Kluyveromyces lactis: one gene and its partners. The protein of the gene in region 3 interacts with the protein of the main gene of each other region in a pairwise test. Links are inferred from orthologs where the notes say so. Each region holds a gene or a part of one and is shown on either strand. Other genes may lie near its edges. The genes, in order: AIM3, GTS1, RVS167, VRP1, VPS1, DSS1 and ACF2.

What was found.
Region 1: the proteins of RVS167 (region 3) and AIM3 interact in binary tests that used the Saccharomyces cerevisiae proteins (3 or more experiments, as listed by UniProt). The link is inferred for Kluyveromyces lactis from reciprocal best matches to the Saccharomyces cerevisiae genes RVS167 and AIM3.
Region 2: the proteins of RVS167 (region 3) and GTS1 interact in binary tests that used the Saccharomyces cerevisiae proteins (3 or more experiments, as listed by UniProt). The link is inferred for Kluyveromyces lactis from reciprocal best matches to the Saccharomyces cerevisiae genes RVS167 and GTS1.
Region 4: the proteins of RVS167 (region 3) and VRP1 interact in binary tests that used the Saccharomyces cerevisiae proteins (3 or more experiments, as listed by UniProt). The link is inferred for Kluyveromyces lactis from reciprocal best matches to the Saccharomyces cerevisiae genes RVS167 and VRP1.
Region 5: the proteins of RVS167 (region 3) and VPS1 interact in a two-hybrid assay, tested with the Saccharomyces cerevisiae proteins (2 studies listed by BioGRID, with this or other methods). The link is inferred for Kluyveromyces lactis from reciprocal best matches to the Saccharomyces cerevisiae genes RVS167 and VPS1.
Region 6: the proteins of RVS167 (region 3) and DSS1 interact in a two-hybrid assay, tested with the Saccharomyces cerevisiae proteins (2 studies listed by BioGRID). The link is inferred for Kluyveromyces lactis from reciprocal best matches to the Saccharomyces cerevisiae genes RVS167 and DSS1.
Region 7: the proteins of RVS167 (region 3) and ACF2 interact in binary tests that used the Saccharomyces cerevisiae proteins (3 or more experiments, as listed by UniProt). The link is inferred for Kluyveromyces lactis from reciprocal best matches to the Saccharomyces cerevisiae genes RVS167 and ACF2.

Annotation. Positions count from the first base shown.
Region 1 is NC_006038.1:826,647-830,870, reverse strand, and holds AIM3 (Aim3p), read left to right. Parts: upstream 1-1,424; coding exon 1,425-4,004; downstream 4,005-4,224. Other genes in the region: ISA2 (Isa2p), read left to right, coding at 1-323; KLLA0_B09482g (uncharacterized protein), read right to left, coding at 445-1,029.
Region 2 is NC_006039.1:1,495,827-1,498,896, forward strand, and holds GTS1 (Gts1p), read left to right. Parts: upstream 1-1,418; coding exon 1,419-2,570; downstream 2,571-3,070. Other genes in the region: MND1 (Mnd1p), read right to left, coding at 53-730. UniProt on the Saccharomyces cerevisiae protein: Appears to modulate the timing of budding to obtain an appropriate cell size independent of the DNA replication cycle. Transcription factor involved in both heat resistance and flocculation.
Region 3 is NC_006041.1:280,318-283,329, forward strand, and holds RVS167 (amphiphysin), read left to right. Parts: upstream 1-1,225; coding exon 1,226-2,512; downstream 2,513-3,012. Other genes in the region: CIN10 (Cin10p), read right to left, coding at 1-270. UniProt on the Saccharomyces cerevisiae protein: Component of a cytoskeletal structure that is required for the formation of endocytic vesicles at the plasma membrane level.
Region 4 is NC_006038.1:537,163-540,808, reverse strand, and holds VRP1 (Vrp1p), read right to left. Parts: upstream 2,271-3,646; coding exon 501-2,270; downstream 1-500. Other genes in the region: ERV1 (flavin-linked sulfhydryl oxidase), read left to right, coding at 1-423; KLLA0_B05995g (heme-dependent oxidative N-demethylase family protein), read right to left, coding at 3,585-3,646. UniProt on the Saccharomyces cerevisiae protein: Involved in cytoskeletal organization and cellular growth. May exert its effects on the cytoskeleton directly, or indirectly via proline-binding proteins (e.g. profilin) or proteins possessing SH3 domains.
Region 5 is NC_006038.1:1,164,432-1,168,297, reverse strand, and holds VPS1 (dynamin-like GTPase VPS1), read right to left. Parts: upstream 2,556-3,866; coding exon 501-2,555; downstream 1-500.
Region 6 is NC_006039.1:556,620-560,564, reverse strand, and holds the start of DSS1 (exoribonuclease II), read left to right. Parts: upstream 1-1,145; coding exon 1,146-3,945. UniProt on the Saccharomyces cerevisiae protein: Essential for mitochondrial biogenesis. Required for intron-independent turnover and processing of mitochondrial RNA. Participates in 3' mtRNA processing where it hydrolyzes single-stranded RNA or partially double-stranded RNA with 3' single-stranded tails.
Region 7 is NC_006040.1:1,445,417-1,449,709, forward strand, and holds ACF2 (endo-1,3(4)-beta-glucanase), read right to left. Parts: upstream 2,801-4,293; coding exon 380-2,800; downstream 1-379. Other genes in the region: RMP1 (Rmp1p), read left to right, coding at 3,407-4,057; SPE4 (spermine synthase), read right to left, coding at 4,126-4,293. UniProt on the Saccharomyces cerevisiae protein: Cleaves internal linkages in 1,3-beta-glucan.

The DNA of each region.
Region 1 (4,224 bases), on a different chromosome or scaffold from region 3:
TGACGGTTGAATCTGGTGGATGTCACGGATTTCAGTACAATTTGAAGCTGGTACCGGAATCTGACAAGAAAATCGGTAACCAGGAACAAGAAACCGATGACCTGAATGACGAAGATGATTTTGAGACTGTTAAGGATATCGTTTATGTATTACCTGATTCCATCGGCGAAGTTGTTATTGATGAGCAGTCCCTAAAGATTTTGAACGATACCACTCTCACATATAGTACCGAATTAATCGGTTCCACTTTCAAGATTACTGGAGGAAGTATGACCAGTAGTTGTGGATGCGGTAGCAGTTTCGGTTTAGACCAGGAAACATGATGTTCTTGCTTTTTTCAACATCCTATTTATTATAATGCAGTGCATGACCCCACTCCCCCCATATTGATGGGCTAATGACTTATATTCAAATGACATTTTACATATATGGTAATGTGTATAGTTAAACTATGAGGTTCTTACATCCTAACAAATATTCTAATAGAACACCATTGGCATTTGATGAGTCTGGTTGCTCGATATATGTCGATCGCAGTGTCACTCTCTGCTGGACAATATGTACTGTTTTTATTGGGAACTCTTTCGAGATCCCTAACCTATCGCTTAATAATTTAGGTAAAAGATGCAAACCAGCGGGGAAATCGCTGACGTTCACTTGGATTTGAAATTGATTCAATAACTTGGTGTCCCTAGTCATATAATCGATTTTCACAACGTCCATATTGGATGTAATTTCTGTTAAAAACTGGTATACAGTCTCATTGTCAAGCTGTAAGGGCACCAGGTACACCTGGTGTTTGCTTAATGTCTTTGTAATCCGATTATCCTGTTGACTATTAGTACAACATACTGTATCACTCAAAAATACACGTAATTCGTCCTCAGAATTATCTATAAGCCAAATTCCTTCTTCACCATCTATATCAGCCACATCAACATTGCAGAACTCACGCAGATCTTCAATGAGCACATCGATCCGAATATCATCTGGTGAATGATAAAAATACCATCGCTCCAAGCCATTCATCTTTCGAGAAAGGAAATTATATCAATGACCAGCAATATTACAAGAGATTGACCTCTGCTTAGATACACGCTTCTCGGTCCTGGGAAACGACAACTTACCCCTGCATTCTTTTCATCTTAGGGTAGTAGTAACCTTTAAACCTTCATGTAGATCGGCTCTATGCCTTTAACAGCTTAAATAGTGAAAATCAAAGGTTTTGAGAAAAAGATTCAAACTGAACAGAATTTGACTCCTAAACCGAAAGGGAAATAAAGGAGAAGCAAGAGTTTGGACCGGTATAAATCAGTAGTTCGTTAGTTATACATTGTATAGCGCGATTGCAGAACATCATTATAATACGGAACACTCTTTCGTCAGCGGTGGCAGTTTTCTCAAGTCTTTGAAGCGCCTTATTCATGAGTAATTTTTGGGATAATAACAAGGGCAGTATTATGTCTGGTCTGGCAAGCGCCGGAAAATATGGTTATCAGGGCACGAAATATGTAGCAAAGGCAGGGTATAAGGCCAGTAAGACGCATTATAACAATTCCCAAGGCAAGAAGAATGTTGAGGAGAGTTCCGATGAAGGCTATATGAGCGAATCGGCTTCAGATTTGTCTCATTTACAAGATCCTAAGATGTTTCCACCGCCTCCTTTAAAACCGGGACAGAAACAGATATCCAGTGATGGGACTGTCATTGATGCTGGTAACGCTCCTCTGGTGCATACTGCTGCTGTGCCGATGGCCAATGCTGCTTCACACCCAGGGTTGCCTCCAAGAACACCGACAGCGAACAGTATTCCTATGCTTACTCAGCAACAAACGTATCCTCCGCAGAATATGTATCAACAACAACCGCCACCACAACCGCCAATGCAACAGCAAGTACCACCACAAGTACAGCAAATCCCACAGCCAGGGCAGCAGTTATCGCAGCAGCCAATGCAGCAGCTTCATCCTGAACCAATTCCTCCAAGAAATTATCAGACTGCCGTAGAAACGCCCCCACAATATACCCCTATTCCATCGCTTAATGCACAACACGTACAAGAACAACTACAACAGCAGTTACAGCAACAGTTCCAACCATCAATGGGTACCCCTGATCAAGGCCAGGCATTAGTCCAAGGCTCTCCCTTGGCGTCGCAACAGCAGGTTCAGCCGCAGGTTCAGCCGCAGACCTCACAATATCAGTCTCAGCAGGTACCCTCGCCTCAGATTCAAAATCAAGGGCAACTAATGCAACAGCAACAAAACTACTTTCAACCTCAACTGCAGCAGACTCAGCCACAGCAGTATATCGATTCCTATGCTCAGTACCAGCAACAAGGGCAGCAGCAAGTTCAACCGCAGATACAGCAAATGCAACCTCAGGTTCAACAGCAACCCATCCAACAACCTCCGCAAGCACAACCGCAGTATCAACAGTCATATCCGCCACAGTACCAACAACAAACCCAATCTTTGCAGCCACAATATCAACAACCAGTTCAGGCTCCTATTGTACAGCCTCCCATTCCTCAACAGGATTATTATCAGCAACAGCAGCAAACTCCTTACCAACCTGCATCTCAACCTCAAATGTATCAACAACAGCCAGGGCAACAAAACCCCATTGTATCTCCAGCTCCTGCACTTGCGCAAAGACCAAGTCTCTCCAATATCCAAACATCTACTGGCCATGGTGCATCTCAAGAATCTACAGTTTCATCAACAGCTTCAATTACCGTTAAACCATACGTTTGGATGGATTCTGATGAACGGAAGGAGAAGAAGAAAATTGAGCTGCAACCTGTGAGTGCAATTGATATTCATCAAGTGACACCTCCTCTCCACAAGGATAGGTCATCTTCTTCAAGTTTGAAGAGTTCATCAAGGGACGCATCCGTATTGGAGAAGGGGAAATCACTTTCACCAGGTCCTGCACCTTTGCCTTCAAGGAATGTCAGACCACCTACATCTGTTGATCATACCAAACCAAACACTGTGACCCCAGCTGCAGCAACTGGAACATCAGCTGAAGTTGGTGATGACCAAGTTAGACCCAATGAAAGTATCACGGGAGTTTATCATGAATCTACTGTATCTTTCCCACCTCCGCCAAAGCCAACGCATAACGGATTGCCAATGTCACCACCTGTATCGCATGCTCGTCCTACAGTATCACATAAGCCACCAAATCCTCCACGTCCTCCTGTGTCTTCGAAACCGACATTACCTCCGATTCAAACTCACCAGCGCATTACCTCCACAGAACGTGCTCCCATAGGTAGACCCAAAGAGGAAGTACATCAAGCTGCGGTGTTAGGTGCTTATAACTATAATGTTGACGTTGGTTTCGCTCCTCCCCCCAAACCACCGAGATCAATGGTAACTTCGCCAGCTAACGATCCTCAAACTTCACTTTCGTCGCGCAGACCTTCCCAAGAGTATGGTGGAGTTGCTAAAGCTTCATCAAGAACGTTGCCGCCGCCGCCGGGACAACAAAATGGCTCGTTGCCCCAGCATACAGAGGAAGAACCAGCCTCCAATAGTTCAGAAAGTGCACCACCTGCCATGAGAATGTTACCCCTAGCAGATTTACCTCCTCCTCCACAGAGGACTGATTCTCATACCACCACATCCGAGCAACCGGCAGTTCCAAGTAGAACTTTTGATCCACCTCCAAGATATTCCACTAATGAAACTATTCCTCCAACTTATAATATTGATGAAGACATTCAAACGGCACATAAGAAACCGCCTCCAAAAGTGCCAAAAAAGAAGGTATCATTAAGGGCAGGAAATAAACCACCTGTCCCCAAGAAAAAGGCTAGTTTGTCCGGTACAGCCACTCATGAACATAACGAGTCAGCCCGCACATCGTTAACGCAAGAAACTAATAACAGTATTGATGATGACGATGATGACGATTCTGGAGAAGGTAATTCTTTCAGGAAGTATTTGAGGCATGTAGTTCCTGCAGAAAGGGATCATATTCATAAGTCCAAATAACTTTAAACACATTAGTGGCATTTACTCGCATCGCAAAAAAAAATAAAGAGTTTTATAAACAGTCATACACCGAGACAGCATACTTACCACTGAAGTCCCGTTAAGGGCTCAAAAACGCGGCTGCAAATTATATAATTATTTATAGATAGGGACTAAAGAACACGCATTATCATTATTCTTTTTAGTGTTTTACATTTCATCTTATTATCATTTAAGCTAT
Region 2 (3,070 bases), on a different chromosome or scaffold from region 3:
TCGTATATGTATATATAGTATCCAATGTATCAACCCTGCTTACCTCTCGTTACTAAAGGTGACCCAACTTTTCAAGTATTGTTTCAAATTGATTGAATTCATTAGGAAGCTCCAACTCAACTTTCAAATCAGACATTTGAACACAATACGTAGATGAGATATGCCCAGTGATGCAATCAATGTTATCTGCAAGACCTACAGCAAAACTTGCCTTTTCAAACAAATTATGTTTCTCCTGTTTGATGCGCTGTGGAGTCCAGTTATTTTTGGATAATTCTTCATATTTGGAGTTCAATTCACGAATTGTCTTTTGAACCTCTTTCAATTTACTTAGCTGTGCACTTCTTTTCCAGCCGCGTCTATTCTTCAACGTATCACTCCTCTGGCCTTGAATTTCCTTCTGATACAATTCCTGACACCGAGCAATTTCACTTTTCTCATGCTCTATTCTTTTCTCTATGTTACTGGCGTCGCTATTCAACTTATTTTGCATCTGATTTTTGAAAGACCAATACACGTTAATGTTCCCACACTTTTCCACACTGATCAATCCATCTTCATCAATCATCTTTTGTACTAATACCTTCACTAACATGGAAGATATGCCACATTTCTTGGGGATATATTTCTCTAATTCCTTCATGTTGTATACGGTATGTTCTTCTTGGAAAAACCTTAGGATACGTGCTTTTTTCTCGGCAAGCGAAACGGTATTCTTACCTGGGGCCATGTTGAATTATTTGAACCTTTTAATAGACTTAATTGAAGCTGATGTCTTTGATGTGATGATGGTTCTTCTTCTGTTTGTTTTTAACCGCTGAACCTTGATAAAAATATATAAAAGAAGACGAAATGTCATTTTCCATGGGGAAATTTATAAACAGTAACATATTTTGGTGAAAGAAGTATCAGAATCGAGAGTAATTGAATCAATTCAGAGATGCCATATTAATAGCCATGGTTGCTTATAATTGGGGAGGCGGTTAGCTGCTATATACGAAACATTAAAATAGATCCTATTCTCCGGCTAAATGACAGACCACGTGAGAATAAACTCTCCTGAGGCAATATGATAGTACATAGCTTAAGCCTGTCTATCACGTCATTATTCAAAAGGTATCCAAGATGGTATATCGTACTGACTGCTTCCAATAGACTTACGTTTGTTGAACAAAAATAGCTCTTGAAATATTCTATGCGGTTGAAATTCCGAACAGGAACAGAAGTTCTATGAATGAACGAAGCATAAAATGGTGAAAGTGAAGAACGGATATTGAAAATAAAAAAAAATACTTCATATTATAAGATTATAAAGACCCAACGCTAGAATTACGTTTATATCAAATAGGGGTCCCAAATTGGACTAGTCGAGTTTAGGTAAGGTTTATTGAGGAGATACTGAAGCGAGGAAACCAAAAATGAGACGATCAAGAGGTGAATCTGTAGAACATGATTTAAAGTTTTTGCTTAACGCTGGTGAGAATTCAAATAAATGTGGTGAATGTGGGACACCATTCCCTACCTACTGTTCAGTGAACTTGGGTGTATTCTTGTGCGGTCGGTGTGCTTCCGTACATAGGAAAGTGTTAGGCAGCAGAGAAGATGGTGCTACTAGTATCGTGAAATCTTTATCTCTTGATAGATGGTCTAAGCGTGACGTTCAAACTGTTGCCGATCTTGGAGGAAACAAACATAACAGCAGTTTTTGGAACCCTAAGAAAGAACCTTTCCCATTTGACGGTGACGAGGATCGTACTGCCGTTGAAATGTTTATCAGGGATAAATATTTAAAGGGTAAGTTCAGACATACCGCTGTCAAGGTGGAAGATTTCAATCTAGAGGATGATTCGTCACAATTGGACTACAAGTCATCCCGCCCATCATCTGCGTCCGGGTCCAGAAGAAACCGTTCTGCCTCATCTGCCAGCAGTAGACCAAGATCAAGAGAAGGAGACAGACCTCCGCTTCCAAAAAGGCCGGACAACAAAGTGCAAGAAGCCGTTTTCGATGGAACAAGTGAACCAAGCCTACCTAGTACAGCATCGGCAGAACCTCGCCCAGCAGTATTCGATGGGGTACAACAATACTATGATCCAACTACCGGCCAAATTTATGTAGATCAAAACTCCTATGCGGCAATGCAGCAGGCCCAGGTACAAGCATTGGCACAACAAGTTCAACCTCAGTTTACACAACAGGTTCAACCTCAGTTTACACAACAAGTGCAACCCCAATTCACACAGCAATTACAACCTCAGTTCACCCAACAGGTACAGCCTCAATTCACTGCTCAACCATCGATAGATAAGAACACACTATTATCACTGTATCAAAGACCAGATTTATATTCTAGTGCCGTAGAAATCAAACCGGATAATCCACAATACCAACAGATCCTGAATCTCCAAAAACAACAGCAGGACCAACAACAGCAGCAACAGCAACTGCTACAACAACAGCAGCTACAACAGCAGCAACAGCAACAGCTCCTGCAGCAACAACAGTTACAACAAATGCAATACCAACAACCACAACAGTACCAACAACAATTCTACCCCCCATTCCAATAGATCATCATCCCTTGGCCTTCTTTGCAGCTGCAGCTGCAACTGCACATCTGCTACCGCACTACGGTTTAATCTCTCATACCTATGTTTGCCTATATAATACGTAAATATGGCTAAAACCAAAACACCGCTACAACTAATATCTAACTTTGTCTTCCTCCTCTGACGTTTCACAACGTCTGCTATACACTCTTATCCGGAACATCCACGATCTACTTACTACCTAGCTATCACCACTATTATCTTACTGACCATCAAAAAAAAAACCTCCCATTGACTCATAACCAATCATATCTTATTTGCACTTAACGAGCGTTTTCTTAAAACCGTTCCACCAAGCACCAGTGTCTTTCCACTGCCTTTACTGTGTACGTTTTCTGCGATATATCTGTCTTTCCTTCTTTGTTTCTTTATTTCTATATAAAGTTCAAAATGACTTATTACAAACTAAGTTTTGATCCTTAAAAACCATTTATAAGAAATAAGAACGCCCCCCCTTGTAA
Region 3 (3,012 bases):
AATTTCCAAACTATGAAAGTTTAAATCCTTTGGATTCATTGCTATTAAAACCCCAGAAATTACACCAGTATCGTAACCGAAAAGCATCCCACCAATTGTCGAACTAACAAACATAATACCCGTCCTCCATGTGAATGGGTATGGTCGTTGTTCAATATCATTTGCAGTGGTGGTGGTCATCTGAGAGAAAGTGGAGTACAAATCCGAATACACATCTTCGACACTGCTATCTCGCTGCGGTGAGGAAGATCGTACAATATCGTCCACCATAATACGGTACCAGGTTAAGAGAATATATGCTGGATTTTGCTGTCCAACGGATTGTAAGAACGCCGCTCTATGAACAGATCGGTGGGATATTACAGCAAGTGTTTAAAGTTTGTAAATCTTTGTTCGAGCCTTGGAGTCAGAAAATGGTTTAAATCCCATTCGGTAATTTAAAGTGTCATTTACTATATTAAGACATTAAAATGAAAAGAGGACAAACAACATCTCCAATGACAGTAACTTCTCGAAACTACTTGTAATATCCATAACGAAACAACCGTTATGTAAAAATATACCTAACTTATATCCTACCAAGAATCTTGCTGCACTTTATGTACCTTGCTCCACAACTATTCTCAACCGAAGGGTACATTGACTATTAGCCTAGAGTCAGCAGGCCTAAAAAAAAACAAGGTCAAGCTTGCAGCATATTTGAGTGATACGCACTCAAATTACAACCAATAGGAGAACCAATGGGCGTTAATAACAGTATAGACCATCCCCTTAACTTTTCACAAGCCTACTGCTCAAATGCATTGGGCCAATTTCCGATGAACTAAGCCAAGCCTTTTTCCTTTCTGTACGCTTTTGCCGATGCACAATACAATTTCAAAAAAATTCAAACTTTGGACAATTTCAATTTCATCACTTTGGAAGGGCATGTAAAAGGGGCAAACTTGAAAGGCAACTGAAGCGGTATATATATCTAATCAGCGTGTCAACGAGTTGTCTGTTAGAGCAAATCTGAACTTAAATTAATCTTTCGAAGGACAAACAAGCGTCTTTGTCGAGGGAAAGAAAGTTAATTTATTATAAGGGCAAAGAGAGAGAGCACTCAAATAAAAAACACGAAGAACGTGAATTTAAACAGATAAAAAGCGTTAAGTTTTGAAGTTTAGAGCGTATACAGCGAATAAGAAAGCAAATAACAATCAATATATTTTCCCCCTAGAGAGTCATGTCGTTCAAAGGTTTTACAAAAGCTGTCGCCAGAGCACCCCAGTCTTTTAGGCAAAAACTGAACATGGGTCAGCAGACTGTTGATCCTGTTTATGAGGATGCTGATCGTCGTTTCAAGGAATTGGAATCGGAAACGAAGAAGTTGAGCGATGAGTCAAAGAGATATTTCAATGCCGTGAACGGTATGCTAGAGCATCAAATTGGATTTTCTAAGGCAATGTCGGAAATTTTCAAGCCAATTAGTGGTAAGATGTCCGATCCCAATGCCGCTGTGCCAGAAGACAATCCAGAAGGTATTGAAGCGAGTGAGCAGTACAGTGCAATTGTTTCTGAGTTGCAAGCTACTTTAAAGCCTGATCTAACTCTGATTGACGAGAAAATTGTTAAACCAGCACAAGAGCTTTTGAACATTATTAATTACATTAGAAAGATGTCCACCAAGAGAAACCATAAAAAGCTAGATTTGGATAGGAGCTTGAACACGTACAACAAATATGAACAAAAACAGAATCCAACGCCAAAGGATGAGGAGAAAAAATATAAAGCCGAGGCTCAAGTCGCCGTAATGCAACAAGAATACGACTACTACAACGATATGTTGAAAACTGAATTACCTATACTTTTCCAATTGGAATCAGAGTTCGTGAAACCATTATTTGTTTCATTCTACTACATGCAATTGAATATCTTCTACACCTTATACAACAGGTTCCAAGACATGAAGATCCCATACTTTGACCTGGATACTGACATCTTGGAGGCATTCCAAGCTAAAAGAGGCAACATTGAAGAGCAAACAGATGCACTAACCATTACTCATTTCAAGCTGGGATACTCGAAGGCCAAACTAGATTTAACCAGAAGAAGATATGGTGCTACTGACGACTCAAGTCCTGGAAGTCCAATGAGCCCACCCGCATACGGCCAAACATACGGTCAGCCTGAACAGCCACAACAGATGGGCTATGACTCAAAACTACAACAGCCGCAACAGCAACAACAGTATCCAATCGGAGGTGTTGCAGGTGCCGCTGGTATCGCAGGATACAATTCGGTGCCCACCACTGCGACCCAGGCATCATACACTCCTCCCACTAGTGCAGGAGTGGAGACATGTACCGCTTTATACGATTACACGGCCCAAGCCGAAGGTGATTTGACGTTCCCTGCTGGTGCCATAATCCAAGTCGTGGATCGTTCCGATGCAGCAGGATGGTGGGTCGGTGTCTACAATGGCGTCCAAGGTGTATTCCCTGGGAACTACGTCGAACTATCGAAACAATAATGAAAACAAAAGAAAACTAATCTCTTGGTCACTTTCCATTCCCTTTCTGCTGTGTATAGACTGAACTTGAAAAAAATAATAAAGCAAAAGAAAAGCTCTCCTAGCCTGTAGTTACTATATACTCTAACCTTGTTTAATTCAAGAATGCCCCATAGCTTTTAAAGGATACAGAATGCACATCACTATCGACGGAATTGACGATATTTGGTCACCTGGCAATAGTCAGACATTGCTTCATGGAGACGAAAGGGGTTCGTCAGAACCCCTGTCTACATGCCCCTATATTTCTACACATCACCAGTAGCAGAGCCAGCCACTAAAATCACACTGGTTTCCAAGCACACAGCAGGTAAGATGGAAAAGAATTCCATGAGAAAGTACACTAAGCCTTACTGCAGGAACAGAAAGAGATACGTCTCTATATATACTTAAAACCAGCTATGTATTTCAATGCAACAATTAGCTCCCACCATCACAACTGCTCCCACTGCAGTGCACAC
Region 4 (3,646 bases), on a different chromosome or scaffold from region 3:
CCTGGCTCCGGTGAATTAGCAGCTGGGGCCGCGACAGATATTTCAAATACTTCAGCTGACCAGCCACTGTTGATTCCTGGATCTAAGACATACTCTAAGTCTGGGCCTGCTGATGTCGAAGAGCTAGGCCGTTCTTCTTGGACTTTGTTACATACGATAGCTGCCAAGTATCCGAATAAGCCATCGGACACACAGAAACAAGAAATGAAACAATTTATGACCATATTCTCTCATGTTTATCCATGCGGGTGGTGTGCTAAGGACTTTGAACTATTTATAAAAGAGAACGCACCCAAGGTTGATTCAAAAGACGACTTAGGTAGATGGATTTGTGCGGCACATAATGAAGTTAATGAGAAATTGGGAAAGGAGAAATTCAACTGCGATTTGTGGAAGAAAAGGTGGGTAGATGGGTGGGATTAAGTGTTATACTTCTTCCTCTTCCACTCGTCTAGGAATGCTTTCATTAATATCTTATATAGTTCTTACTCATTATAAAGTCATGTAAATACAGTAAAATCTAATGGAACACTTGAACCTCTGCCACTTGGATATAGTTTTCTTAAGCCCAAGAATTGTCTCGGTTTGGGGAGATCGTTTCTGTTAGACCAATCGAATTTTGAATCATCAATGGTTATTCCACTGTTATTCAGCTTTATTCCGGTCGTATCTTGACTTCCTTCTATTGTGAAATCTCCGACATCTATTTCAGCAGCATTTGTGTAAGGGTTAGTAGATTGAGATGGTCGACTGGCTTCATTACCAGATGAAAAAAGTCTGTGTTTGAAGAAACCTTTTGATGAGGAACTATTTGTGCGTTCCACTTGAGGTTGCTGATTTTGTTGAAGAGATTCCTCTGAGGCTGCGGGTGGAGGTGGTGGAGCTTTGGCAGAGGGAAATGAAGCGGCTTGTGGAGGAGGGGAAGGAGGAGCCGTTGGCGCACCCACTGGTGTATGACTATTCTCACTTTCGATAATGTGAGAATCATCCCTTCTGCTTTGTATTGATGCCAGAAATGGTAATCCTCCGGCTGGAATAGATGGTGCTTCAGAACTTGGGGTAGATTGAGGCAGCGTAGGTGCATTAAAGGAAGGAGTAGGTGGGGCCGGAGGGGCAGGAGGGGCAGGAGGTGCAGGAGGTGCAGGAGCCGGTGGGGCCGGAGGAGCAGCAATTGAAGGTGGAGCAGCAGGAGCTGGAGTTGGTGGAACCGAAGGAGCACTGAACGAAGGAGGAGCCGGAGGAGCAGATGATGAGGGAAGCGGTACCTTTGGAGCGGAAGATGCTGTATTATTCGACGCACCATGTCCTGTTCCTTCAACTACGAATCTGTCATCTCTCTTTCGTTGAATCTCCGCCAGGAATGGAAGTCCTCCAGCTGGGGACGGTGCAGATGGTGGTGGTTGCGGCGTGGACGTTGGGAATGATATGCTTGGAGGTGCAGGTGGGGCTGCAGGAGGGGTACTGATTATGGGAGGTGCTGGAGGTGCTGGAGCTGGAGGTGCAGATGTAGGAGGTGCAGGCGTAGGAGGTGCTGGTGGGGCCGCAGGAGGGGTGCTAATTGTGGGAGGTGCTAGAGGTACTGGAGGTGCCGGAGCTGGTGGCACGGCTATAGGAGGAGCTGGAGGTGCAGGTGGTAACGTTACAGGCGGAGCAGGTTGTGCTTGAACCGGAGGTGCTTCTGTGCGTTGTCTTGCTGGAGGATGTTTCGGAACCGGTGGTGTGTTCATCATGGGTACTGGTGGCGGACTTGTTGGAATTGCCGGTGCTGCCATTGGAGGAGGAGCAGGAGGAGCCGCCACTGACGAATCACCCTCACTTCTCAAAGTCTTTTTACGCTGTGGTCTATTAGAAGGAATTTTTGGGATTGAAGAGCTATCCGGAAGCGGAGGAGCTCCAGATGGAATAGCTGGTGATTTAGAGGAACCCGAAACATGTTTTAATTTAGGGATCCCACCAGCAAGTATATCTCCCAATTGAGGGACACCGGGAAGCTGAGTTGGAGTCGGGATCGATGGTGCTACAGGCGGGACTGCTGAGCTCGATACTGATACAGAGTGGCTCATCGAACTTGATCCTCCAATCGCAGGTGCACTCTTATCCACAGTGTGTGCTTTCTTAAGTTTTGCACCTTTCCTAATATCACTCAATAAGGCATCACGTCCTGGAACAGCCGCTGGGGGTGGGACAGGAGTTGCAGCGGAGCCAGCATTGGATGAATTTCCGCCAAACATAGGCGGAGGAGGTGCTGGTGGTGGAGGTGGACCAGCCATATTATTCTAATTTCTATGTTCAGCAAGTTATCTATAACAAAGTATGCTCAAATCCTTAAGTCTTATAGAACTTTTAGCGGAAACACACTGGTCAATTGGTATCGCTATGATTCTTTTCGAATAACTACCTTAAACGCAGTGGACCCCTATGCACTGCAACAGTTTGTTTCTCTCTGATTTGACGTTTCTTTCATTTTTAAATAGCTAATTGATATCTGGAAGCCTCAAGGATACCCGGACACTACACTTTCCACCCAGACACTACACTTTCAGTTCGGTGCTAAATCAATAATCAAGAAGAATACGGCAATGCAAGACGATTCTATGATACTACTACAGTACGAAGTTCACTGGACCTCTTCATGATTTCGCGGTAGCATCGGCATGTAGTAACTAAATGAGGAACATCGTTTTAGTGGAGTGCCATTCCCAGTTACCAGCCCTATACGAATAATTTACCAATATAATATATTCGGGTAACATTTTGGTATTGGACCTTGTCTTAAAAAAGTTTTCAAAGGCGATCAAGCATCTTAACAACTTACTATGTGAAGAAGGTACTGAAATCTATATATCATGTACACTATCTATAGCTAGTACCACCACCATCGGGGATTGGATTAAAAATTGAGCTAATATATTCCACAGCAAGATGTAATACGTTGTCAATTCTTTGTTTTGTTAGTGACAGGTGTCCTAACGCGAAGTAATGCATTTTCTGTCGTCGTTCTTTTAACTTAGCTAATGGAATCCGTCCTCATAGTATATAGATTTTAAGTGGCATCTTCGAAGATCCGTGCGCAGTTTTTCTTTCAGTGGTGCATGGATTCAAAGCGATGCCCAAATTGAAGATAAATTCACAGCTTCTTGCTGTGTGTTTCCCTCGTTTCTGTGGATTTTCCTCTGTTGAATGCTAAAAAACATCATCACGAATTTTCACGAATGGTTTTGGATGCATAAATAGCGTCCTTTACCCAGGAAACTGGGGCACATCTCTAAATCGTATGGTATTTTGTGATTCGAACCTTGGTTACCCAAAAAGCCTTATAATTTAGTCTCGGAAATGAACTTCTTGCACATGGTTTCGTATTCCAGACTTGTGAGGGAATGTCTTCTCAATCTTTCATAAAAATATCTATTCCGCGATAGTTTAATGGTTAGAATTCGCGCTTGTCGCGTGCGAGATCGGGGTTCAATTCCCCGTCGCGGAGAAGCTTTTTTATTTTTTCGTCACTGCATTCACATTCGACTCAAGCTCTATTAACAACACTCGTTAATTTAAGAGTATCTGTCAATATTGTTCGTTAAAGTTATTTACAACTTTCTATGTAATGCTGATTCAAGCATTTCAAGCAATGCTGGCCCCCACTCGGGTT
Region 5 (3,866 bases), on a different chromosome or scaffold from region 3:
AAAAAGTGAGAACATTTATCATAAATTGGAATAGTTCACTGTCGATAAAATTCAATATTAGAGATCATAACAGCATCCTGCAATCTATTAGTTAAGAGGCTTATCATCTATTTCCTGGTTGAAAATGTTTAAAGATTTGATGAGTCTTCGTAATTTTCATTCAAATAACTGTGAATCACTGTGAATCAAGACAATATACATTGAGCGTTAGCATGGCCAATATTTGTCACCAAAAAATTACTAGCTTTAGGAAAATAGGATTTGAAAATGTTACATGCCAATACAGAATAATAGCTAAGTTAATAGAACGAAACATACATTTAATTCGGAAGCAAGATAACGATGACAAAAAAAAAATTAATAATTCTGATATTCTTTATCAATGATATATATCACTATTTATTTCACTAATCTATAGGCAGAGCAGCCAGAGAAAAAAAAAAGAGGAAATGAAATGGAGGGAAAAACAGTTTCAATTTATAAATACAAGCACTTAATATTCAAACGGATGAAACAATCTCACTAGCATGAGTTAGAATATTGACCATCTTTTGACATTCTTTCCTTCTTTGGGTAGTCAAATCACTTTCCTTCGTTAGCTCGTCAAGATTTTCGCTGCTGTATAATTTCTCAAGTAGAATCTTTTGAATGTCATTTTTACTCTTAACGATTAATTTTAGCATAACAGCCTTTGGAATGAAGTCTGCCACGGATCTCTTGACGATGCTGAAATAGCTGTCGATAAGTAATTTAATAACTTCCGTTTCAAGTTTTTCCCTTTCAGTCATTTGACCAGTGGCTTCTAAAACATTTGGTGGATTTTCCAAAACAGAAGCTCTAGTCTTACTCTTCGATGAGAAGAAACCACCAAAGAAACCAGATGGTCTAGTTTCTTCGGCTTTTACAGGTTGAGCAGCAATCGGTTTACCGGTCTTTGGATCCACTTGGCGTGGATGTAGTCTTTCTTCAACCATAGCCATTGCTTGAGAGCCCTTTAATAGGTCTGGATGAGCTGTATTGATATAAGTTTGTTCAGATTTTATGATGTCGACGACAAAGTCATTAGTTGGAATGACCGCCTCTTTCAGGAATTGAACGAAGTTATTCGAGATAGCATCTCTTAGGCTTGGGTATCTGCTGTATTTTGGTTGGTTGATAATCTGCTTTAGTATACGGACCAATTCATCGAAAACTAAGTTGACCAAACGTAAAGAAGGTTGTTCGAACCTACTAATTTGCTTCTTCACCAAGACTTCAAATGCTTCGGTACCCACAAACAAAGAAGGCGCTGAACCAGAACAATTGTACATAATAGTTCTGATATCGGAGTCCTTAATTTGATCGAATGGATCCAAGGCGTAAACACCATTCTTGAAGATTTCATGGAACACAAACGAGACTCTAGCACCACCTGATAGTTCTTTACTTGTAAGCTCCCTTGCTTCACCATCCAATATACCTGTGTATTCCTTTGAGAAGTCTGTGATCATGCTTAGCACGATGGAACTGGAAGATGATAGGGATTCTGGACCCAAACTTAACAATTCAGTTTGATATTTCTTCAAAGTGACCTCAATCTTATGTTTAATATCTGGCAACGTTTGTCTGATGTGATGCAATAGAATAGAATTTAACTTCTTAGTTAAATATGGGGTACCACAGTACAGTGCTCTTGCACTGTACGATGGATGGTTCTCAAAGAAACGTTTTTCGTCCTCTAACGCAGATCTAATTGTTTTATTCTTTTCGATATCTTTTTGACCTCTATTGATTACTGGGATATAACCAAATTTCAATGGGATAACTCTTCCGGCCAAAATATCGATGACATCTGTACCTTCATCCATCAAATCGACTTTAGTTAACACACCGATGGTTCTTGATCCATCGGGATCGACTTCCCTGGCCAATTTCAAACCATCACTGTTAGCCAAATCAGCATTAGCTGGGTTCACTGCCAAGATAATAGCGTTAGGTTTCTTGATGTAAGTCAAGATCATATCCTTGATTTGTCTTTCGATATCAGCTGGTTGATCACCAACAGGGACCTTGGTCAAACCGGGCAAATCGACCAAGGTTAAAGTTAGCACATGTGGCGAATATACTCTTAAAGTGATTGGAACCGCAGAAATCCCTGCATTCTTCCCGGTACTCTTATCGGTCTCCAAAACGATCTCTTTTCTAATTTCGTTAAAGTTGAAAAGCTTTTTACCGGGCAAATGACCAAACTCACCCCATTCTTCTGCATTGTCTTCATTTTGACCACCATTGGCTGCACTGTTATCCAAATCTAACAGCTCTTCTGTAGCATGCTTAGTCTCCTTCTTGACCCTACGGTTGATCAATTGTAAGATCAATGGTCTTCTGGTAACAATACCGGTACCACGAGGCAAGAAATCTCTACCGACAATGTTTTCCAACACAGAAGATTTACCAGAACTTTGAGAACCAACAACGGTAATTTGTGGTAAATCAATCGGAGTCTGAGAACCGCCGCCTAATGGAGCCAAAGCATCCTGTAACTTATTGATCGTAGCAATCAAACGTTCATCCATGTTGCCAGTTTATTTACTCACAGTATTGGGCTTGATCTCAATTACAATTACAAATTGAGAATTCAAAATATATCTCTGACCTAACCGATTAACTTTGGATGTAGTAAAGGTATATATAAAAATAAATCTCTCTAGATATTTGGAATATCTCTCTCGAGTTGACTAGAATTGATTTTGATTTGATGTTTTTCTTGTTTTTCCCCTTTTTCGCCACCAAAAGTTAGAAAAAACCAAGTATTACCCGGAAATGGTTAGATCTGCCAATCTAACTGGATCCAGATCGTATCCAATAGATAGCACAGTCAGTGAGCCTATTTAGCCAGTAGCCTCTTATTCAAATTAACGGGGAGAAGAGTTTCCAAACGAACTACAAGGGCCCATATAAAGGCCGACTTTCACTGTCAATGGGATAGTTTTCTTGTTTTTTTCGGATGCCGTTACAGATCTACACACGAAATACAAAGGTTTTGTAATCATCAAATATCTTGATTCTTCCATATCTGGATTTTCGTTTATATATATGCATATACTTCCAATTGAATTATTGTTGGATAAGATTTACAGGAAATTGAACATACAATTTGCAAATTCAAGCTCGCTCATTCTTATGATTGGGGTCTTTCACGTAATTATTGATTTTTCCTGGGTCTTGAAATCGATTTTGAATTTTTCTGGCTTTAAAAATTTAGTACAAAATGAAATAATATAACAAAGTGTGAACTTTTGAACTTACTATACCTTTTATTTGGTTTGAGTGTGTGAACAGGAGAAGCTAAAGTTAAAACCAACACTACATATCCCTTTGGTCCAAACTTGCCAGTACCTTCAAATTGAACTTCTTAATTCTTTCATTCGCTGGACACTCCTGAGACAGAATTGGTAAAGGAAAGAAATAAAGGGAAACGGAATTCTCAGACAATACAATATTAACTGGCTGATTTTTTTGTCTACACACATATACACACAGTCTCTCTCTATCTGAATATAACTGGATAGTTTGTGCTAGTTACGTTTTTAGTTCAAATTAGTGACGAGCACATCTTTTGATATTGGTCACCTGTTACCAACAACAACAACAACAAAAGAAGTTAGTGTCAGACTCACAAATACTGAAAAAAGCCTTTGCATTGGAACTTTGGTGTATTAACTCTCGGAGATTATACACATCCGACACTTATTTGATTATCCTCATCACGAATTAACTTGTGAGGAGTACTTTTGACGGTTCTTTCTGATCTAGGAAGACGTAGCAAGTCAAAACTCATTCAGGTTGTCGACTTCAGTACAAGACGCACAGGTTTTCAAGGACAC
Region 6 (3,945 bases), on a different chromosome or scaffold from region 3:
GTGTGTGGGTGTGGTGGGGTAAGTTTACTCGTAGGGGTTTTTCCGTGGTTGCAAACTCCTATATTATCATCAATATATCAAGCATATGCTTTGGATACGACTATTCAATAATTAGTTAAAATCTGTGAGTGTGATGGGCAGTGGTAGAGTTGGTGACAGAGTTAGTAGCACTTTCACTCTGTCTTGCTCTCACGCTTTTCCTGTCGGAGTTTTTATATTGTCTCGGACCTTGCTTGTTCAGTATCCGAAACTTGAAGTGTTTGGAATTGCAATCTCCGATATATGTCACAGTGGTATTTAGATTAGTTGTTAACGGCGAGGAATTTATCCTTTTTTTTCTTTGCCTACATATCGCTCCTACTTGCTGTCTTTTGGTCTAATGTCCGAAGGAGCGCTTTATTTTGTTCTAAATATTACTGCCAAACGTCAAATGCCAGTAGTTTACCGAATTCTCTTCGACAAAAGGTAACTAACGGACAATCACGGTAGAAAAGAAATTAGTGGGGTCGATCACTGAGTGGTGTAAGCTAGTTGAAGGTTTTTCCCCTCCATTGGCTTCATCTTCACCAAGAAAGTAGCAGGGTACCCCGCACCGGTATTTTTCAAGTCGTTTTTCTTTCGCGTTATTCCTGCTACCTGAGCATAGAAAAAAAGCCAACAGAATTCGCCAAGTTAGTGTACACTCTATAGCTTGAGACCGCTATCTTCAACAGTTAAAGTGTCACAGTCTAATGTCTACATTAATGTTTTAGATAAGTAGGACTGGATTTCATAGGATTACATTCACCGTGAGGTGCCGATGTTGGAGGAAATTTCAGTGCGGAGCCAGCCCACCCTTCCCACATCTGGAATCGAAAACCGAAGAGCCGAATATCACAAATCACGTGCTATTCTATGTAACGTTACCCGGGTGTGTCATATCGGGTCCTTCACTTGGCAGGGTAATAAACTCGAGAAAAACTTAAGAGAAATCGCATAGAGCCCCATTGAATAAAAATGAAAATGAAAATATAGAAGGCATTTTACACTTGGCACATTGGAAAGTCTAGCTCATCACTCAGTAACACTTTGCCGATCATACTTTCTAGGTTTTCTCCTTTGGTTCCAACACTATCTACTAGTTGTTCCTCACTTGAAAAACTCATATGTCGTCGGTTTTCTCAATCAGGCGGCCTCGTGTTGCTGCTAGGTTCTTGGCTCATCGCAGATATATGCATAGTGGTGTACCTTTATTTCAAGCAAGACAAAGTGATACATCAGGGACTAATGTCACTACAGAGTCTCTACAAGAAGATGAAGAAGTGATATTCTTCTCGCAGGATAAAGATATCTTACCAGAAGTGGAAATTAAACCGTTCAGGCGAACCAAGGCGGAAACTTTGATGAGATTCAATGACCGGTTTGTTCAACCATCAATCGATTGGTATAGAAAAGTTGGGAAATCACATGGAGAAAATACGGATAAAGATGAATTCATGCACTTGCTGCGTAATGATATTTCATCCTCGACTTTATTCGAAGAAACTTTGAAATGGCTCTCTAAGGATAACTATAAGCTAAGGAACAATACCTATAATGGTTATGATACACAGGAAATTGAATTTTATTTCGATCCTTCAGCTATTGTATCATCGACGTTAATGCCAGGTGATATTTGCGTATTGAAAAACTCCCCGTTTGAATTACTAGTGTGTGTTAAAACGCCGTCTGAAGCCATGGATGCCAGATTTACTTTCGCTAATACTGATGGTAACGTGGTATATGCATGGAAAACTAGTGTCCATCTACGATTCCCTACAATTTTTAATACAACCGAGTTAGAAATTTTGCAGCGAGAAAAGCTGCATGGTTACAGTCCAGTTGGCTCTGTAAAAAATGATAAAGATGTTACTTTTGTCATTCCAACTCTACCGCGGAGAATGTTGATCTCTAATGTTACGTTTCGTATTGCAGATGCCGCTGTCCAACAGTTGCCCATCATTAAAAAGAAGTTAGAATTGATTCATCGATACTTACAATCAGGATCAAGTCCATGGCAGATACCCATTTTGAAGTTAGTGGAAATCTGCTCGAATTTAGAGCTATCCAACAACATTGAAAAATCCATTGCAACAGCGTTCATGAAATCAGGCCTCTCAAGCGATGCCCTATACTCTTTGGCTAACTCTCATTTTGAATTAAGTTCTAAAGTACCCAATAAGGTGGAGTGTTCTCGTTTATTGGCTGTTTATTGGGCTCTTTTACATCAACAGGGCACACAGATGTGGGGTGAAATGACCGTTCATAGAGGTATATTCTTCCCAAGCGCCGTAACTGTACTACCCTTGACGAAGCAACACCTACACTATCATAACATCATACACAAACTCAGACAGCATGGGGGTGTTCGTATTAATAGAATTGCGGCCCTCATTAACGAAAATGACCTTGCGTCTTTGAATAAATCGTTCCCATACATCGTTCCCTTGTTACGAGACTATGCAGCTGGAAATCTTGAACACAATGATACTATAACAAGCTTAATTTCCTCATTATTCAGAAAACTTGATGAGTACAAAGAACTCAACATCAGCCGAGATGTTTGTTTCGACCTTTTGAAACGCATAAATCCATCCGAACCTCCTAATCCTCTCCTTATCAATCATGAATTACAATTGCCGGTCAATAATGAAAGAGTAAAATTAGAGCAAAAGATTTATGATTTAGCTGTTCCACCGAAGATTGAGCATTCGGCTGAAATCCGTACTGAGTACAAAGATCTAATCTGCTACTGTATTGACAGCCCAGATGCCCATGAGATCGATGATGCAGTGTCGATCAAATCATTAGGAGGTGCGAAGTATCGTATTTACATCCATGTCGCAGATCCAGCCTCCCTTTTTCCTGAAGCAAATGAAGATGGTACTACGATCAACTCTCCCGTACTTGATATTGCTTATCAACGTGCCTTTACAACATATCTTCCAGATAAAGTTTTCCCAATGCTTCCAACAACTTATGCTAGGTCCTCTGATTTGGGTCAGTTTGGTAAGCCTACTAAAGCGGTTACATTCTCAGTCGATTGCACATTTTCTAAGAGTAAAGGATTGTGTCTTTTGAAAGATTCTTTGAAAGTGGAGTTGTCAGTACTCCACAAGTCCACTCGAATAACTTATGAAGCAGTGGATGAACTGCTTGATGAACCAACCACAAAGCCTAAGTCTGGCAAACACGAAGACCTAAAAACTTTATTCTATATTGCTAAAGCATTGAGAAGGCAGCGGATAGTCGATGGTGGTGCCGTTGTTTTCGAAAATTCTTCAACAGGGATAGTTTCTTTATCCCCTGATGACAACTCTGAGTTGGTGGAAGTTTCATTCAAAGATCAAATAGAAACAAAATCAACAATTCTTGTCTCAGAACTTATGATTCTTGCTAATTCTTTGACTGCGTCCTATTTCGAGGAAAACCAAATTCCAGGTATCTATCGGGGTTACAGACCCTTGAATGTGGTTGAGGATGCAACATCTGTTCCTGAATGGGTCAAAGCCAAGACCCAAGAAAACAAAATCATTTCAAAAGCTGACATTGCTAAAATGAAGTCCTTTTTGACTAGTAGTTTTTATTCTAGTCTTCCAACGCCTCACGATATGCTTGGTACCTCTCACTATTTGACTATTACTTCTCCGTTGAGACGTTTCCCAGATTTGGTAAACCATCTACAATTGCATAGAACTTTAAAAGGACTTCCGCTTCTTTATAAACAATCACAATTAGATGGCATGGTGTGGCATATATTGACAAGGGATGTTACCTTGAAAAACGCCAGTGTTGATGCCCAAAGATATTGGACTCTAAGATTTTTGAAGAAGGAAATTGAAGATCCGACGAAAAATAACTGGAAGTTACAGATCACTTCCTTGACCGATAACGGGTATGCACATTGTGTTATCTTGGACAAAGCTT
Region 7 (4,293 bases), on a different chromosome or scaffold from region 3:
AGGTTTCGTCGTATCTGGAACTTTTTTGGTAAAACCTCTAAATCTGTTTTAAGGCAAAGTGATTCGGAGTAACTTGTAAACCAGAAAAGCGTCAAAGCTTGCAAATTCCACCTTTGGTTAGTCATTGCATTCACCTGGTAGTCCTATGTGTTGCAGTAGGCTTATTTTGAGAAAGGATTGGTTAAAGACAGTGGAAACTGGTAGGAGGACGGTAACCAGGGAAACTTTCAATATATTACCTAACAATTAACTAAAAACAGATCTACGTAAATGGAGAGAACTTGCAAATTACATAAATGAGTGAAGTAGTTAACATTGGAGAGAAAAACCCCCATATGACTTTCCTCCTTCGTGTTTGAAATAGTATGTCCATGTGAACTCAAATGAAAGCGCCAGAATATGTCAATGACCAGGTCTTGCTCTGTCCGCCGTCTAGGTATGCGTTTTGGAAAGCACTACTGTTAAAGAAGTTGAATGATGTAGCTGGATCATATAATGCAACATTTAGCATTAATATACCTCTCCAGCCATCCGTGACATTATTGACAATTGGAGCTAATAGTTGATCCCATTCCTGTTTCACAAATTCAGGTGATCTGGTGAAAGACGAAGCCGAAGTTATTGGAATTGCATGGATCATTTGGATGTATTCCAAATTGGTACCAAAGTATGTAGTATGATCTATCTTATTTTCAAATAAGATACCACTAACTTTATTTGGAATAAATTGCGTTGGCTGAGTGGTGTTGTTGTCAAGGTATAAGAAGTAGTTGTTCAAGGAAGTTTTCAATACACCTAGCATCAAGTTACCAATATTTTCCAAGTTGCTGTTGCCACTGACTAGACCCCATAGTTTCAATGCATAAGCTGCGTTTACGTCTTCCGATGAAGATTCTTGATCTTTACCGTCACCGCTTTCAAATAGACCTTTTGCCCAAGAATGACCATTGAACCAGTCAAAGGATCTAAAAACAGGGAAATATTTATCAGTTTCAGATGGATTTGCGTAGTCTCTGATTAAGTTCTCAACCCAACTCTTGTTATCATTGTACCAGGAGCCAGAACCAATATCTTTATCGACTTTAGCAACAATAGCGGCAGCAATTACATGATAAGAGTAATGGAAGTGGTGATCATTGTAGTATGAATTACCAAAATCCTGGGAACTATCACCAGAGGAGATGATACCATACCACGTTTGATCATATCTCAAGGGCAAAGTCTGTGTGTTAGAAATGAAGCGTCCCAAGGCAGATTTTAATTTGGGTAAAATTGTGGAAACTAAACTCGAATTCTTCAAGATATATTGGCATACGTACAAAATCCACGCATATTTAGCCAAAGCTTTACCGGAAAAGTACATTGAGTCGAGGTTACTTTCTGCCACGACATCACCAGTGACGTCGTTTGCGGCAGCAGCGTTGATAGCGTTTAAGACATTCGTAGAGTAATTAGGACCAGATTTATTAGCAATAGTAGTAAATGGATCGAACTTCAAAGCTGAGGGTACGGTTACTTTCATTGCCAATTCATTAGTGAGATAACCTTGAGCTTGACCCTTCGTTGTAGTGTCTAATTTAGAAATAACAGTTTTAGTTCCCTTAGAGGAATCGAAGTTTTGATAATGATGAGGCAAAGCGTAAACTAAAGGATAACCACTATTAGAACTACCTTGTGTACCGTATTTTAATTGGTAGCTACCACTTGTCCCATCAACAGAACCTTCCAAAGTACATGAATTAGCATAACAGCCTGCGGCATTATCAATGTTTTGGTTGGAATCCGCAACGACTTGAAAAACGCATCCGTTAACAGAGTTGTTACCAACGATAGTATTCCCATTCGATAAGGCTAAAGATAATGATTGACCAGATGGAATGGTAACATACAATGTCCAAGTGACATTGTTCTCGAGCAATATCTTGTACTTGTTAATGCCAGATCTTGGTGAAGTATCACCAGTGATACTTTTGAAACCAACAGCAGAAGACAATCTTGGGATTAAATTATAGTAAATAGCAGTAACAAATCCCATACCTTGAACTAGAGGAAAGACAATAAATTCAGTGTCAGATTTTTTCAACTGAACATCCACTGATAAGTGTTTGATGTTGTAAAATGCCAACGACATGTCTCCAGCAGAATTGAAATCAGTTGACGAATAGACTAGCGATTTGATACCCGTAGGACCAAAGAAAAATTGAGGTGGAGTCTTAGTGGTATCAAAGACTCTTTGGGCTGCGGTAACCTGATTTAGAGCTAAACCATAGTATGAATCAGTAGAATACCAAACTGAGTATGGATGGGTCCAGATTGGATTTGTCCCACCACCAAGCATGATGTTCCCATAAAACTTGTTGGTTTCAGTTGGTTTACCGGAATTGTTAGTCCCTGAAGGGAGTGGCACCTCATGATTTACCTTTGAGAAAACAGCCAAAGGTGGATCAGTGGAGATTGGCGAAGAGAAAACGTTTGTTGCCGAGATATTAGCAGACATTAGTTGATTAGTTACTTCATCCATTGTGTTAGTAGTTGACCGAGATGTGTTATTAGGGACCACCGTTTCAATTCCCTGCGTATTTGGCCTTGCAGGCAACGGAGGGGTGTTTCTATTCCAGACATAATCTCCAAAAGCTGAATCCTGAGTTCGTCTAGGAGGAATTCGTGGTGGTACCTGTGGAGGGGGCTGTAAGGGTATTTGTGAATTGGAAGATAATGGATCTGTTTCAGCATACGGAGGGGGGATCGGATCTCTCTGAAAACCATTTGGTATATTCACCCCAGGTCTCTGATACGACATACTTTGGAATGTTTAAAAAGAAGGTATAATTATGTGAAGTTGGGGCTCGAAGACTGTATTCTTTGTTTAAGAAGCAGACAGATTTCGAGTTACTTTATATTGGATAAACCATCAAAAACCGCTCTTGCAATGAACAGGATGTAAACTATTAAGTTCTCTTGTTTCAATTGGGTTCATTCGAGCATAAATTTACTCTAATTTATACTCAATGCACGACTCGAGGCTCGACGTTCCTGACACAAATATCAATGGAAAAACTCAGGCTTTTTTGCTTTCCAGTGATTCAAGTGACACAATAATCAATCAATTTAACAGAGTTCAAATTATCCAATTAACCGTTTACGGAGTGACAGGTCATCTCGCGTGCAATGATTATTGGTTTCTTTTCAATAAAGGGCGGTGCAGGATGCAATTGTAGGCTTTTTCTTGGAACATTTGTTCGAAAGATGATGATGATCTTGAAAAAAAAACGAATCGGTGTATTAAGAACATGAGATGAGATGAGGTAGAAGTGAAGCACAGATGAAACAGAGATGCGTGTCCTGGCTCTCATTTTTGTACGAAATGCTGGTTTGTTAGAGTATTGACGATAAATTACTCAATATCATGGGTGGTATTTCTGAAATAAATAAGAAACTAGTGGTGCAGCTTCGCCAAGAATTAAGAATAGTATACCTCATATATCATAGGAATAAGAACCAGCACGGGGCGACTGTATGGTGGAAACAGCTAAATATTTTGAAAAGGAACGTGGCACAGGCTGTACGTATAATTGAAGGCTTGGTTTTTCGAGGCGTTTGCCATGATAAACAGTTATTGAAGCTTCATTCGTTGTTGTATTCGATTTTGAAGTTACAGATAAAGAAGATGTACTATGATTTCAATGGTGTAATATCTTTGGGACAGTTTGTGACGTTGGGAGTAGTACTGATAGGAAATTTGGCACGTATTTATACGGTATACATGCACATTTATGATACGTTGGAAGAAGATTTCCGTAGGATTGGATGCATAAAGAACAATACCAGTTCTGTCAACCCTGGGATGTCCGACAACGAGGTACGGGAAGCTTTGGAATCTATAGCTGACGAAGAGATAGGGGAAGAAATTGGCGAAGATCTGGAAACAATGGCGATTTTTAAAAGTACAGATGACAACTCAAAAGTGCTAGCTGCCAGCGGGAAAAAGGACAATAAATACGGTAAAAAGAAAAAGCAAAAGAAGAAGAAGTCAGCTATTGATGATCTATTCGGTTGATTGTAGTTCCTTCGAGTATTCGAATATTTACATAATGTATATTTTTCTAGTGTTCAGTTTACAGAATTTCACAATGGATTTAGTACCTTTCTAGCCCATGTAGGTAAGACAAAAGCAGCGGAATGCATCTTGTTATTATAATATCTCATCTGAGATTGCTCATCCTCAGTTGGAGCACGACAGGGGTCAATGAGATTTGTGTTTGGATTCTTACAGCATGCGATCAACCCTAATTG